2 linked regions of the Anolis sagrei genome follow. The protein of the gene in region 1 interacts with the protein of each later gene in a pairwise test. Links are inferred from orthologs where the notes say so. Each region holds a gene or a part of one and is shown in the gene's direction. Other genes may lie near its edges.

Region 1 (7,710 bases):
AACACAAATAAATATATAGCAGCTTTACACGCAGCACTCTTCACACTGGAGCTCTTACACAAGACTTCGGCCTACTAACTCTTTCAGTGCTTGACTCCCACTTTTGTAATCAAAAATACTCAGTTAATTTTTTTTAAATATTTCTGACAGAGAGAGCAGGAAGTGAGAGGAAATCTATCCCCCAGAAGGGAAATTCACTCCCAGAAGTTATCATGAAGAAAAGGTGTCTCCATTGAACTTCAGCATCAATTCTTGTTTCCACAACAAACCACCTTTTTCGAAATCCAATTATCACAGGGACAGAAGATGAGAGGAAATCTTCTGAACAGGCAGTAAAACAAACACCACTCTTCCCTAGGCTATCCAACGCTTATATATTTGATATAATTATTTTAAAAATTCATGCAGTTTTCAAACATACATAGTTTTCCTCAGTGTCTCTTTATCCTAATTCACTTTTAGGACTCTACCTTCATATATCTAAAAACAAGAAAGGCAACCTAAGATGTTTGTAGCAAGAATTACAAGGAAAGATGAGGACCCTGTACCCATCTGACTATATTAGGTTGGCGTTATGATTTAATAAATATAACTGTTCCAACTTACATACAAATTCAACTTAAGAACAAACCTACAGAACCTATCTTGCTCGTAACTTGGAGACTGCCTGTACAGAACCTCAATCTATTCCTGTTACAATAAACTGAAGAGCAGTTCTTACCTCTCTGGATACAGCTCTCTTTGGTTCAACAACTCTACCATCAACTTTGTGTGGTCTGGCATTCATGGCAGCATCAACCTCTTCCACTGTTGAGTATGTCACAAATCCAAAGCCCCTGGAGCGCTTAGTATTGGGATCTCTCATCACCTAGAATGAAGTATTCAAATCAGTATTTCATTTTGCGTTCTGCATATACCAAGTGGGGGCAACCACTTTCCTTAAGGTTTGTTGGTGGTGTCATATATCAAGTATGGGTAGCACTGAAACTAATAGTGGATACAGAACAAATATATTAAAGACCAACCCTTTTCTCACAGATACCCCTCCCACTGAAGTTGCTGGGAAACAACCAGCAAATGCCTTGTTTTAAATGAATTTGAAATTATGGGTGCATTAAATCTTGTCAAGCCAAGTGCAGCCATAGTTCATAAGCCACACACACACACACACTCCAAGGATATAATACCCACCAAGCTCATGAGCTGGATTTCCTAAGATTAACTTGCAATAAGGTAACTTCACATTTGTCCTATCCAGTATATCAGATTTCATTAACACAAAAGGGAAAATCAAAGCTAGTACTAATTCCAACCCACCCCAACATGCTGGAACAATATGCCCCCTTCTTTTTCAATAGCTTCTCTAATACTTGTTAGGTGTGCTGTCCTTTAAGCTGCAATACCCAATCCAGTCCAAACCAGAAATGTTTCCCTTGTAATAGCTGTGCTCAAGATGCTGGAGATACTTACCACACAGTCTGTAAGTGTCCCCCATTGCTCAAAATGATTGCGAAGGCTCTCATCTGTTGTCTCAAAACTGAGGCCCCCAATAAACAGTTTGCGCAGCTGTTCAGGCTCCTTCGGGGACTAAAAGAGAAAAAAGCAAGGTGATAAAACAACAAGTAAAATTGCCCGGATGGTTCTGCAGAATATGTTCACTCAACTGTTCGCCGTCTACATTTTGTGTATTTTAGTACTATCCTCTCTTTAGGAATATCCAAGTCCTCTAAAATTACTCAATGGTCACCCTTTGCCAGAACAGAGTCCTAGAGGCATTTTCACAGGTAAAAAGAAAATAATTGTGATTCTCCCATTTCAGAGGGGTCCTGTATCTTTAACCCCTGTGAAGGCAGAGCTCCTACTGTAAATGAAAAGAAACACTCTTACCATGCCACAAGCATTTGTGAAACTAGCATGTTACTTACTCTTGACTACAAAGTCTTAAACTTCATTGGGAGCACTTAGGCACAGATTCCAAATATTACAGATTATGCCACTGTTTCTTTAAGTACTTTCTGGGTTTCTCTCAATTTCTACACTGAAACAAAGAGTGTTTTGCAGCATAATTTTGTAAGAGAGTTGAAAATTACAGCATATAGGTTTTGCTGACAATTGCCTCATTTCCTGTGTTTTCAGCACTTCTGGCACACATAATTGTCAGAATAATTAAGTTGGGCAATATAAATAAACTGACTAGCAGACCTGTTAAAAAACCCAGAATTGAGCCACTGAAAAAATAAACATACCATTGGGGGAAATTATTGCATTTTTAAAGACTCCACAGCAAATAATTTTTAAGGCATGCTACAATGAATGACTAAGGATATATACTATTGCTCAAGACTGCTGCCTGCAAATACAAGTGTTTTTTCTGGTCTATGTAAATATAGTGCAGAGGATCCACAGAAAGAGCACCATGGGTCTTGGCAACATGGGAATATGTTTTGCTTTCATGACCATGCACCAGATAACAGAAGCATAAAAAGCAGATTTTGGAATGAACTGTGTAACGACCACCTCGCCAACTTAGAAAGGGTGGAGTATGGAAGAAAGGAAAGGGATGTAATGGCATTCTAAAGGCTGAGGAAAACAGGTTGGTAGCATTAGCTTTTGTAAATTTGAGCATTATTATTTTATTTATTTATAGTCCACTCTTTAGTCACAAAGGCTCGGTGTTTTCCAAAATATTAATTTACTTTTACAATTACAATATAAATACGATATAATACAATAAGATAAGATGGAGCGATGTCTGGCTGGCTCCAACTCAGTGGGGAGAGCGGTCTCTCAAAAACTGATGGATAGTCAGGTAGTCTTTAAATTGCAACAAAATTGCAGATTGATATTCCAAAACCAACACAGTTCTCTCTAAATACTACAAAAGCAGTGTAACTGGCTGAATAATTAAGGTGCTTGAGTCCAGAATGCTTCTCAGGCAAGATGTCCATCTACATGGAATTTATGTAGTTTAATAATTTAATTGCTATTTTATTTATTTACTATACTATTTTATACCCTGCCATCTCTCACTCCGAAGGGGACTCAGAGCAGCTTACAAGTTATATATTACATTATTAGCATAGTACAATGCTAGCATCATATATTATTATATTGTACTACACCATTATGATGCAAAATTATTAGTAATATTACATGTACTATATAATTATTATATTTTATTATGTTACTAGCCACCCCCTGCCACGCATTGCTGTGGCCCAGTCTGCGTTTTGCGTGCATGTGTGTGTGTATATATATATATGGTTTGGCAAATGCGTTGTAATGTATTTTTTCTCTTTTAAATTCCCTTCTGCAGTGTTTTTCAGTGTTTTTATGAGTGATAGTCACTCATGGGCCTGATAGGTGTATTGTGTCCAATTTTGGTGTCAATTTGTCCAGTGGTTTTTGATTTATGTTAATCCCACAAACGAACATTACATTTTTGTTTATATAGATTATACTGTATTAGTATTATATTGTATTACATTATAATACTACAATCAATATTATAAGTACATATAATATATTATATTGCCTGTGTCTCAATGTTATGGAATCCTACGAGTTGTAGTTTGGTGAGGCACCATCACTCTTTGGCAGAGAAGGCTGAAGACCTTACAAAAGGCTATCTCTCAGAATGATACTGAACCGTAGGAGTTAAAGCTGTATCAAACTGCATAATCTTCGACACAATGAATCAAATGGGTTTATTCAAGTTCGAAATGGAATCAATGAGGATTCTGGGCTCAAGAGACAAAGCGAGCGATCACGTGGCTCAGCCCTTTCCCATCCCCCGCACAGAGCTCAAGGGGGAAAAGCTGTGCTCTACGGCGCGCATGCGCTCCAGAGAAAGCCTGCTGGACTGCACAGCGCATGCGCAGCCATTACAGGCGCCGGGGGAAAGCTTAGAACGCCACGCACTGTAAAAGATGGCGCCTGCCCCGGGAAGCCAGCGCGCATGCGTAGTGGCCGGGGAAGGTGGAGGAAAAGCAGGCCCAAGCGGCAAGGGGAAGGAGGCCGAAGCAGAAGCTCAAAAATGGCCAATAGGGGGGAAAAAACAGCCAGCATTGGCGCGGGGAGGATTTTTAACACTTACTTCGTTAGGAGACATATCGCACCCGTAATCGGACGATCCCTAAAGGCAAAGGAAACATAATTCCACAAAAACAAGCCACAGGTTTGGTTTCGAAACAACACGACACAAACGCCCGCGGGCGGACCTTACCTCAGACTTCGACATGGTGGCGATATTCACTCGGCGAGGCCTAGCCCGGCTTCCTCCCCAACGCGGCTTCTTCCTTCTTCTGCAGCTGAGGCGGAAAGAGGCAGAGTCAGCAGCGCCCCGGCGCTTCACTACTAAGGCCCGCCCCCGGCCAACCACGATTGGTCAGTCTCCTAAGCCGCTTCCTCTCCCATTGGGCAGCGGGCAGATTGGCCGCAACCTATTGGACAACAGAATAGTGACCTCGCCCTTTTTCGCACGGCTTGCCCACCTCCGTTCGCTTGCTATTGGGTAAGATACTTGTCACTCCTCAATTTTGTCCTCCGCCATTTCTGAGGCAGCACCCGCCCCCTCTCCATGGTAGCTTTCCCTTTATTGGCCAATTTAGAACGCATCTCTCTTGTGATTGGCTTACATACCCGGATTCCATTTTTCCGGTTGGTCAGCTTTCTTTTCATTCATTTTAACAGAGGCGGGAATTAAGTTGGCAGCCTTAGAACGTTTTTCCTTTAACGGTCCCAAGAACTGTATGCAACGCCTTTGGCGAAGGTGGCAGCGGGGGTTAGAATAAAAGAGGTGGAAAGGGCCATTCAGATCTATAAAAGCTTGCTTCCAGGCAGCAACAGCAGCAGCAAACGGTGAGGCGGGGCCTACAAAAGCCACGCATGCGCCTTAAGTTCACTCTTGTGTCAGACAGGAGGAAGGGAGGGAGGGACGCTGGGAGCGGTGCGCGCGCCTCACGCCAGCGCGAGAAAGGGGCGGAGGGGGGGGGCAGCTCGGCGCGTGCGCACTGCGAACCTGTTTTGGCGGGCGTTGCGCAGAAGCGGCGGTTGTGAGGGGGTGGGGGAAGTTGGTTCCGCACCGAGCCGTTACTTTTTCCACTCTCCCAGGTGAGCGACCACGGGAAATAACTCGGCGGGCGGCGTGCTAGCGAAAGCCGGTCCTTTAGAGGGAGGGGGCGTGGTCTCGGCGTGATTGGGAGCTTGCCTGAACCGCACTGTGGTACCGTTGGAAGAGGGGGCGGGGCCTGAGGGTGGGCGGGGCCAGCTTGCATGAGTGACAGCCTGGCGGGTCGAAGGGTGTGGAGGCGGCCCGAGCGAGAGAATGCTGAGAGGGAGGAGGGAGGGGTTGACCGAGGGGGCGGGCGCTTCTCATTCTTTCGCGGGATTGGTGGAATGCCTCTCGAGCGACGTGCGCGCTCTCCAATCAAGAGGAGTGTGGGTGTGGGCGGGCGGAGTTTGCGGCTTTCCCGCCAGGAACCTCCTCCCTCGTGGAAGTCAGTTGCCCTCTTGTGGTCTGTGCTGCTCATAAGGGCCTGCTTTTCAATAATAGTAATCATAATAATAAGAAATCAAAGTCTTTTAAGTAAAGTCCATGATTCAGTGAATGATCGAACTAGTTCTAATGCTCTTCTTGTTCAATCTCAAACCTTTTTGTATTTCCAGTATATCCAGGGACCTATGAATTGTCCATGTCCTTTCAGTACCTCTGCGGTCCGCCAACATGGCAGACCGTTCAGCCCTTCAGATCTTGTGCGTGTCTCTTGTCTTTTGCTCAAGAAATTGGCAATGCCTGCTAACGTTTGCCGGGGCTGCCCTCATTGCAAAGCGATAGTTTAAAAAGCTCGGAATCCCATAAACTTGGGTGACTTAAAAACAGAAAGGGCAGCGGTTTTCCCAGGGTCCTTCCACACAGCCATATAACCCAGAATATTAAGGCATAAAATTCCACAATATCTGCTTTGAACTGGGTTATCTAAATTCACACTGGGTTGTAGGTTTTTTCGGGCTAAATGGCCATGTTCTAGAGGCATTCTCTCCTGACGTTTGTCTCACTACCTCTGAGGATGCTTGCCATTGATGCAGGTGAAACGTCAGGAGAGAATGCCTCTAGAACATGGCCATATAGCCTGAAAAAACGTACAACAACCCAGTGATTCCGGCCATGAAAGCCTTTGACAATACATTAAATTCACACTGCAATATAATCCAGTTCAAAGCAGATAATGAGGGATTTTATTCAGCTGTGTGGAAGGGGCCTGAGATGATGCTAAATTTCAATGGAAATATTATTTCAGCAATACCCATCTTAACGAAAAATAATCTGTGTCATGTATTTTTGTAGTTTAACCTAAGAACTGAGACTTCTTCAGTGCTGAGTAGGTGGGTTTTTAATATTATTATTTATTGACTGTGTTTATACACCACTTTTCACAGGAGCCCCCAGTGGCGCAGTGGGTTAAACCCCTGTGTCGGCAGGACTGAAGACCGACAGGTCGCAGATTCAAATCCGGGGAGAGACAGATGAGCTCCCTCTATCAGCTCCAGCTCCTCATGCGAGGACATGAGAGAAGCCTCCCACAAGGATGATAAAAACATCCAATCATCTGGGCAACATCCTTGCAGACGGCCAACTCTGTCACACCAGAAGCAACTTGCAGTCTCTCACGTTGCTTCTGACATGACAAAACAAACAAAACCACTTTTCACACCCCGGGGGGTGGGGATAGGACTCAAAGTGGTGTATATCAAGTAATGGCAAGATTCAATGCCGAGATATATACACACCAAACATAATAACTAAAACAATACATATAACTATAAATGAAACCATTAAAATCATATTAAACAGAACACAAACATTTAGACAATTGAAACATAGCTTTAACATCTTAATGTTAAAATCACATAATCCAAAATTCAAAAATACTCATCGCAACCCTTATTGGAATATTTGGGGAAAGAAAAAAATATTTTGGTGGGTGGAATTTCACTCTTACCTTGCCCAGCCTTGCGTTAAAGTGTATTTTGAATTGTTTAATAGTTTGATTTTACTTTAATAGTGACTCTCAATGTTTTTTTTAAACTATTGTGATCATTAATTTGTTAGCTGCCTTCAGTCCTAATCTTGGGGGAAAGGCAGAGTAGTATAATAATGATAATGCAATTCAAGGGAAAAGAGAAGCAATAGATTTTAAATGTATAGGCAGTTGCCAGATAAATTAGGGTCTGGTTGCTTGAGAGTTACAATTTAAAATAGGTCTAGCTAATACTACATACTGTAGTATATCATATGCTCTGTATTGACTTGATATTCATACTGAAATACAGTAATTAAAAGCAAATAAAGCCAAACATAACATCACAGTTTTGCTGTATTTTAAAAATTGCTTTGTGTATACAGTATTACTTATTTATTTCAGGAATTTCTATACCGCCTTTCTCCAGCAGACCCAAAGTAATTCACAACATCATTAAAACATACAGTATAATATAAAACCATTGATTAAAACAACCCAAAAGAGTTAAATGGATGCTCCCTTATAGAAAATTAAAAATTACCATTAAATTAAAAGCAGTCTAAAATTTCCATATGACAATAAAATACTACAAAATACTAGGCTTCTGTTGCAGTTCATTTAAAAGGTATTTCAAACAGGTGGGGTCTGATCTGATTATTTCTTTGATAGCTTGAGAGTTCTGGTTGCT
Region 2 (7,021 bases), on another chromosome or scaffold:
CTCTTGTCCCCGCATGAGGAGCTGGAGCTGATAGAGGGAGCTCATCCGCCTCTCCCTGGATTCGAACCTGCGACCTGTCGGTCTTCAGTCCTGCCAGCACAGGGCTTTAAAATGTCAGGAGTGAATGATTCTAGATTATGGCCAGACAGCCTGGAAAACTCACAACGCAATATATACAGTATCCTGTTCTTATTGTTGCTGACATAGGGAGCACTTTCTACTTGTAGCTTGATTATAGGTCTTGAAAAATTACAGCTCCCAGGATTCCACATCTCTGAGCCATGGAAGTTCGAGTGGTGTCAAACTGCAACATTCACACTGTTGAATTAATGCACTTTGACACAACAGACTGCAATTAAAGCTGAGGTAAAGAGCTAGGAAGGTGTCGTGGTTTGAGATTGGGCTTAATTTACTTCTGACCTTGGGCAAGTCAACCCAGAAAACTCTGTGACAGCTTCACCAGAAGTCTGAAAGTACAACAACAATGCTGTCTACAATTAAAACTGAAGGAGAAAGCAAAGCAGACCAACAATATTAAAGGGAAATAATGTTCCTCCAGAACTTGGCCATATAGCCCGGAAAAACCTACAACAACCTGGAAATAATGACGTTACAAGATGGGAAAAATGAAAATGCCACACCCAAGGCAGTCCTCTTGCAGCAACCTGAAAAAAAAAGTAACACCAAATATTGAACATCAAATGGAAATTATCATAGCTTCTAAGGGCAATTACTTCCACAGATAGCAACGCCACATCGCCTGCTGAAAAGTATGTAATTGGTCCCTTGGAGTGCATCTACACTTAAGAATTAATGCAGTTTGATACCATTTTAACTATGGTATCCTGAGAGCTGTAGTCTTTAGCCAAACAAGTCTCAAGCCTGCTACTCAGGGAGACAAGAAGCGAAAAAACCTATCTCCTTCCCTTCCGCAGAACTCGTTTTAGCAGCCTCACAACCCAATTTATCTGCTACACAAAGAAAACCAAAACATCCACCCAAGCGCCCCACGTACAACAGCGCTCCCCGAGCTGCACAAAATGCGCCCCACGCCTCGCTCCTGAACGCATGCGCACGAGAGCCCTGCCGCTTGAAACGACCCGGCCCCTTCCGCCAGTACTTCGAAAGGGGAGGGGGGAAACCTTTCGAGCAAGTGTTCCTGATTGGTCCTGAAGGCTTAAAGGGCTCACTCTGAAGTCCCGCCTCTACAGTTTCACCTCGGTGAAGGGCAGCAGCTCGCATAAATACGCGCACGCGCACTAGTATGTCGAGATTTGTTGGCTCAGAGGCGCGCTGAGGCAAAAGAGAGGACAGGGGAAGCAGGAAGGGGGCGCGTGCGCACTTTCTATAGTAGCATCTCCTCATAGAGCCTTGGGTTGGTTTGAGCGTTGAACTAAGAGTGCATTTATTTATTATTATTTATTTATTTGCTTCATTTCTATACCGTATTTTTCAGCCCTTAACAGGCGACTCAATGCGGTTTACAGTGCAATTAAAACATAACAATGCAACAAACAGGATCAACAACATCGATCCACAACAATTAACAATCAAACAAGACAAATCAACAAAACAACAGACATAACGCCTCAGTTGAAATCAGATCCGTTCTCATAGTCCTTGTGCCATTCCTATGTTCCATTTACCGTCTTCCTTGATTGGTTGCACTGCTTAGCCAAACGCTTGTTCATAAAGCCAGGTCTTAACCATTATCCGAAACTTCAGCAACGAAGGTGCCTGCCTGATGTCTGCCGGCAAGGCATTCCATAGCCGAGGGGCCACCACTGAGAAGGCCCTGTCTCTCGTCCCCGCCAAGCGCGCCTGTGACGCAGGCGGGATCGAGAGCAGGGCCTCCCCAGACAATCTTAATGTTCTAGTCGGTTCATAGGTGGAGATGCATTCGGAGAGGTAAGCGGGGCCAGAACCGTTTAGGGATTTATAGGCTAAAGCCAGCACCTTGAATTGTGCCCGGTAGCGGATTGGCAGCCAGTGGAGCTGGCTCAGCAGAGGAGTGGTATGCTCCCTGAGTGCCGCTCCCGTTAGCAACCTGGCTGCCGAGCGCTGGACCATCTGAAGCTTCCGGGCAGTCTTCAAGGGCAACCCCACGTAGAGCGCGTTGCAGTAATCAATCCGGGATGTAACCAGAGCGTGGACTACCGTGGCCAAATCTACACTGGGGAATGAATGCAGTTTGACACCACTTTAGTTTCTTGAGGCACCAGCACTATTTCACAGAGAAGGCTAAAGGCCTTGTGAAAATATGACTCCGGGATATTATAGCATTGAGCTAGGGCTGTTCCAAGTGGTATCAAACTGCATTAATTCTCCAGTGTATAGATGCACCCTAACATAAACGAAGAAATCCGCTTCCTCAAGCGCAGCATCCCGTCAGTTAGTTGGTACTTTAAAGAGTTGCTGTGAGCTTTCCGGGCTGTATGGCCATGTTCTAGATGAAGCATGCTCTCCTGGCCTTTCGCCCACATCTGTGGCAGGCATCCTCAGAGGTTATGAGGTCTGTTGGAAACTAGGCAAGTGGAGTTTACATATTTGTGGAAAGTCCAGGGTGGGAGAAAGAACAGCCACCAGGCTGTTTTTTAAACAGAAACAGATTTTAATTAATTAATGAGATTTAATACTTTAAATGAATGTAATTACTGGATTTTATTATGTACTTGCTGTCCCCTGCCACGAGTTGCTGTGGACCAGTCTGTGTATATGTATTTTGTGTGTGTATATATTTATGTATATATGTGTATATATTTATGTATATATGTGTCTCTTCTGCTTTGCTTTTCAGTTTTTTAATGAGTGATGGTCACTCATTGGCCTGATATGTATATTGTGTCCAAATTTGGTGTCAATTCGTCTAGTGTATTTTGAGTTATGTTAACCCCACAAACGAACATTACATTTTTATTTATATAATTTTATTATGTGTACATTGGAGACATTGAATTGTTGCTGGCTGGAAGCTGCCCTGAGTCTCCCCCTGGGGGTTGAGAAGGGCGGGGTACAAGTATCTGAAATAATAATAATAATAAATAATAATAATTGTCTGCTTGAGGCAAGTGTGAATGTTGCAATTGGCCACCTTGATTAACATTTAATGGCCTTGCAGCTTCAAGGTCTGGCTGCTTACTGCCTGGGGAATCCTTTGTTGGGAGGTGATTAGTTGGCCCTGATTTATTCTTGTCTGGAATTCCCCTGTTTTTGAGGATTGCTCTTTATTTACTGTTTTGATTTTAGAGTTTTTAAATACTGGTAGCCAGATTTTGTTCATTTTCATGGTTTCCTCCTTTCTGTTGAAATTGTCCAGGTTTGTCAATTTTAATGGCTTCTCTGTGTAGTCCGAGGAGCTAACACCTCCCAACAAAGGAGCCCCCAGGCAGCAACCAGCCAGGCGTTGGAGCTACAGGGCCATTAAATGATAATCAAGGTGGCCAGTTGCCACATTCACACTTGCCTCAAGCAGACAAGAGTTCATTCTCCTACCCTGGACATTCCGCAGATATATAAATCCCATTTGTCTAGTTTCAAACAGATCTCACAACCTCTGAGTATGCCTGTCATAGATGTGGGCGAAACGTCAGGAGAGAATGCGTCTGGAACATAGCCAAACAGCCCGGAAAACTCAGTAATTCCGGCTTCAACAACAGTATTAAATCCTGTGGTTGCCTCCTTCCTGCAGAGTCCTGGGGCTTGTAGTTTAGTGAGGCCCAGGAACCCCCCTGGCTGAGCATTTTGAAGTCCCCTCCCCTAAACTACAATCCCCAAGATTCTGCAGGAGGGATGCACTCTCGCTTTGAAGTCTCGTGTGACCCCGGGTTTGCCCTTCCCTCCGTCCACCTGGGCAGCTGCGTCTCAGCCAATGGCTGTCCCCGTTCGGGAGGCGCGCGCTGCTGATTGGACCGCGGGTTGTGACGTAGTTTGAAAATAAAATATTTGAACGGCGGCAAGCCTGGGTTGCAGGCGTTGAGAGCGCGGGTCGTCGTTAACAGTTGGCTGCGGAAGTGTTGGCTCCGGAGCTGGCTGTATTCCCCAAGCAGCAATGGCGGGGAGCACAAAGGGTAAGTCCTGGATCGGGAGAAGGCGGGCTGCGTGGCCTTAAGGGTCGCCCGCCTCCGCCTCGCATCCTTCCCTTCGTGCACAGGGAATCAGAGCTGGAAGAGACCTGATGGGCCATCCAGTCCAACCCCCTGCCAAGAAGCAGGAATATTGCATTCAAATCACCCCTGACAGATGGCCATCCAGCCTCTGCTTAAAAGCTTCCAAAGAAGGAGCCTCCGCCCCGGAGTGTGGAAGCTTTTAAACAGAGGCTGGATGGCCATCTGTCAGGGATGATTTGAATGCAATATTCATGCTTCTTGGAAGAGGGTTGGACTGGATGGCCCATGAGGTCTCTTCCAGCTCTTTGATTCTATGGTTCTATGAACTGGGTTATTTGGAAGTGTATACACCAGGCCTGGGCCAACTTGGGCCCTGCAGGTGATTTGGACTTAGGAATGGTGGGAGTTGGAGTCCAAATCATCTGCAGGGCCCAAGTTGGCCCAGGCCTGGTATACACGCAATTATTTCATACACAATGTTTTTAATAGTTCTGTGCATGAAACATTTTGAGTATATTGAACCATCCCAAAACAAAGAGAACAAACCTTATTCTCCTGGTTGGATGATTTCAAAGCCTTTGGAGTTTCTGGGTAAGAGATGCCCACCCTATAGATTGCCCCCCAATATGTTCAGTTGAACCCCTCCCATCTTCCAGGTCTGAAATACTCCAGAATTTGATGCATGAGATAGCCAGCCAGCCCTTGGTTTTCCGATGTTAAAAACACATCTGGCCCCAACATTTTGGCTAAGGGATGCTCAGCGTGTTGTTATTGTGACTGTCAGAGGTTTGGAGTATTATATCATTTCTAAAGTGAGGCCCTGGTGGCGCAGCGGATTAAAGCTTGTTGACCGAAAGGTTGGCGGTTCAAATCCAGGGAGCGTGGTGAGCTCATAGAATCAAAGAGTTGGAAGAGACCTCATGGGCCATCCAGTCCAACCCCCTGCCAAGAAGCAGGAATATTGCATTCAAATCACCCCTGACAGATGGCCATCCAGCCTCTGCTTAAAAGCTTCCAAAGAGGGAGCCTCCACCACACTCCGGGGCAGAGAGTTCCACTGCTGAACGGCTCTCACAGTCAGGAAGTTCTTCCTAATGTTCAGATGGAATCTCCTCTCTTGTAGTTTGAAGCCATTGTTCCGCGTCCTAGTCTCCAAGGAAGCAGAAAACAAGCTTGCTCCCTCCTCCCTGTGGCTTCCTCTCACATATTTGTACATGGCTATCATATCTCCTCTCAGCCTTCTCTTCTTCAGGCTAAACATGCCCAGTTCCCCAAGCCGCTCCTCATAGGGCTTGTTCTCCAGACCCTTGATCATTTTAGTCGCCCTCCTCTGGACACATTCCAGCTTGTCAATATCTCTCTTGAACTGTGGTGCCCAGAATTGGACACAATATTCCAGATGTGGTCTAACTAAAGCAGAATAGAGGGGTAGCATTACTTCCTTAGATCTAGACACTATGCTCCTATTGATGCAGGCCAAAATCCCATTGGCTTTTTTTGCCGCCACATCACATTGTTGGCTCATGTTTAACTTGTTGTCCATGAGGACTCCAAGATCTTTTTCACACGTACTGCTCTCGAGCCAGGCGTCCCCCATTCTGTATCTTTGCATTTCATTTTTTCTGCCAAAGTGGAGTATCTTGCATTTGTCACTGTTGAACTTCATTTTGTTAGTTTTGGCCCATCTCTCTAATCTGTCAAGATCGTTTTGAATTCTGCTCCTGTCCTCTGGACCATTGGCTATCCCTCCCAATTTGGTGTCGTCTGCAAACTTGATGATCATGCCTTCTAGCCCTTCATCTAAGTCATTAATAAAGATGTTGAACAGGACCGGGCCCAGGACGGAACCCTGCGGCACTCCACTTGTCACTTCTTTCCAAGATGAGGAGGAAGCATTAGTGAGCACTCTCTGTGTTCGTCCACTTAACCAATTACAGATCCACCTCACCGTAGTTTTGCCTAGCCCACATTGGACTAGTTTCCTTGCCAGAAGGTCATGGGGGACCTTGTCGAAGGCCTTACTGAAATCCAGGTACGCTACATCCACGGCATTCCCCGCATCTACCCAGCTTGTAACTCTATCGAAGAAAGAGATCAGATTAGTCTGGCATGACTTGTTTTTGATAAATCCATGTTGACTATTAGTGATGACTGCATTTGTTTCTAAGTGTTTGCAGACCGCTTCCTTAACAATCTTTTCCAAAATCTTGCCCGGTATCGACGTGAGGCTGACCGGACGGTAGTTGTTTGGGTCATCCTTTTTTCCCTTCTTGAAGATTGGGACCACATTGGCCCTCCTCCAATCTGCTGGAACTTCTCCCGTTCTCCAAGAACTCTCAAAGATGGTTGCCAGTGGTTCCGAAATGACTTCCGCTAGTTCCTTCAATACTCTGGGGTGTAGTTGATCTGGCCCTGGGGACTTGAACTCATTAAGAGCGGCCAGGTATTCCTGGACGACTTCTTTCCCAATTTGGGGTTGGATGTCCTCCAATCCCTCATCCACTCCATCTTGCTGAGGTTGAAGACTCTCTTTTTGTGAGAAGACCGAGGCAAAGAAGGCATTAAGTAGTTCTGCCTTTTCCCTATCCCCTGTCAGCATTGCCCCATCTTCTCCCACTGTTAGGCCCAGCTTCTGCCAACCTAGCAGGTCAAAGACATGCAAATGTGAGTAGATCAGTACGTACCACTTGGGCGGGAAGGTAATGGGACTCCATGCAGTCATACTGGCCACATGATCTTGGAGGTGTCTATGGACAATGCCGGCTCTTTGGCTTAGAAATTGAGATGAGCACCACCCTCGCAGAGTCAGACATGACTAGACTTAATGTCAAGAGGAAAACTTTTACCTTTAAAGTAACAATAAGTGAGTATAAGTCTCAGTACCATTCCAGCAGCAAGAATTAAGGACTTAATCA

What was found. The genes of interacting proteins can lie anywhere in the genome.
Region 2: the proteins of CBX5 (region 1) and INCENP interact in binary tests that used the Homo sapiens proteins (3 or more experiments, as listed by UniProt). The link is inferred for Anolis sagrei from reciprocal best matches to the Homo sapiens genes CBX5 and INCENP.

What each region holds. Positions count from the first base shown.
Region 1 is NC_090022.1:188,553,045-188,560,754, forward strand, and holds the start of CBX5 (chromobox protein homolog 5), read left to right. Parts: upstream 1-4,690; 5' UTR 4,691-4,860; intron 4,861-5,022; exon of another isoform or gene 5,023-5,112; intron 5,113-7,710. Other genes in the region: HNRNPA1 (heterogeneous nuclear ribonucleoprotein A1), read right to left, coding at 722-868, 1,471-1,587, 4,097-4,135, 4,226-4,240. UniProt on the Homo sapiens protein: Component of heterochromatin that recognizes and binds histone H3 tails methylated at 'Lys-9' (H3K9me), leading to epigenetic repression. In contrast, it is excluded from chromatin when 'Tyr-41' of histone H3 is phosphorylated (H3Y41ph).
Region 2 is NC_090021.1:237,572,488-237,579,508, forward strand, and holds the start of INCENP (inner centromere protein), read left to right. Parts: upstream 1-3,942; 5' UTR 3,943-4,048; coding exon 4,049-4,067; intron 4,068-7,021. UniProt on the Homo sapiens protein: Component of the chromosomal passenger complex (CPC), a complex that acts as a key regulator of mitosis.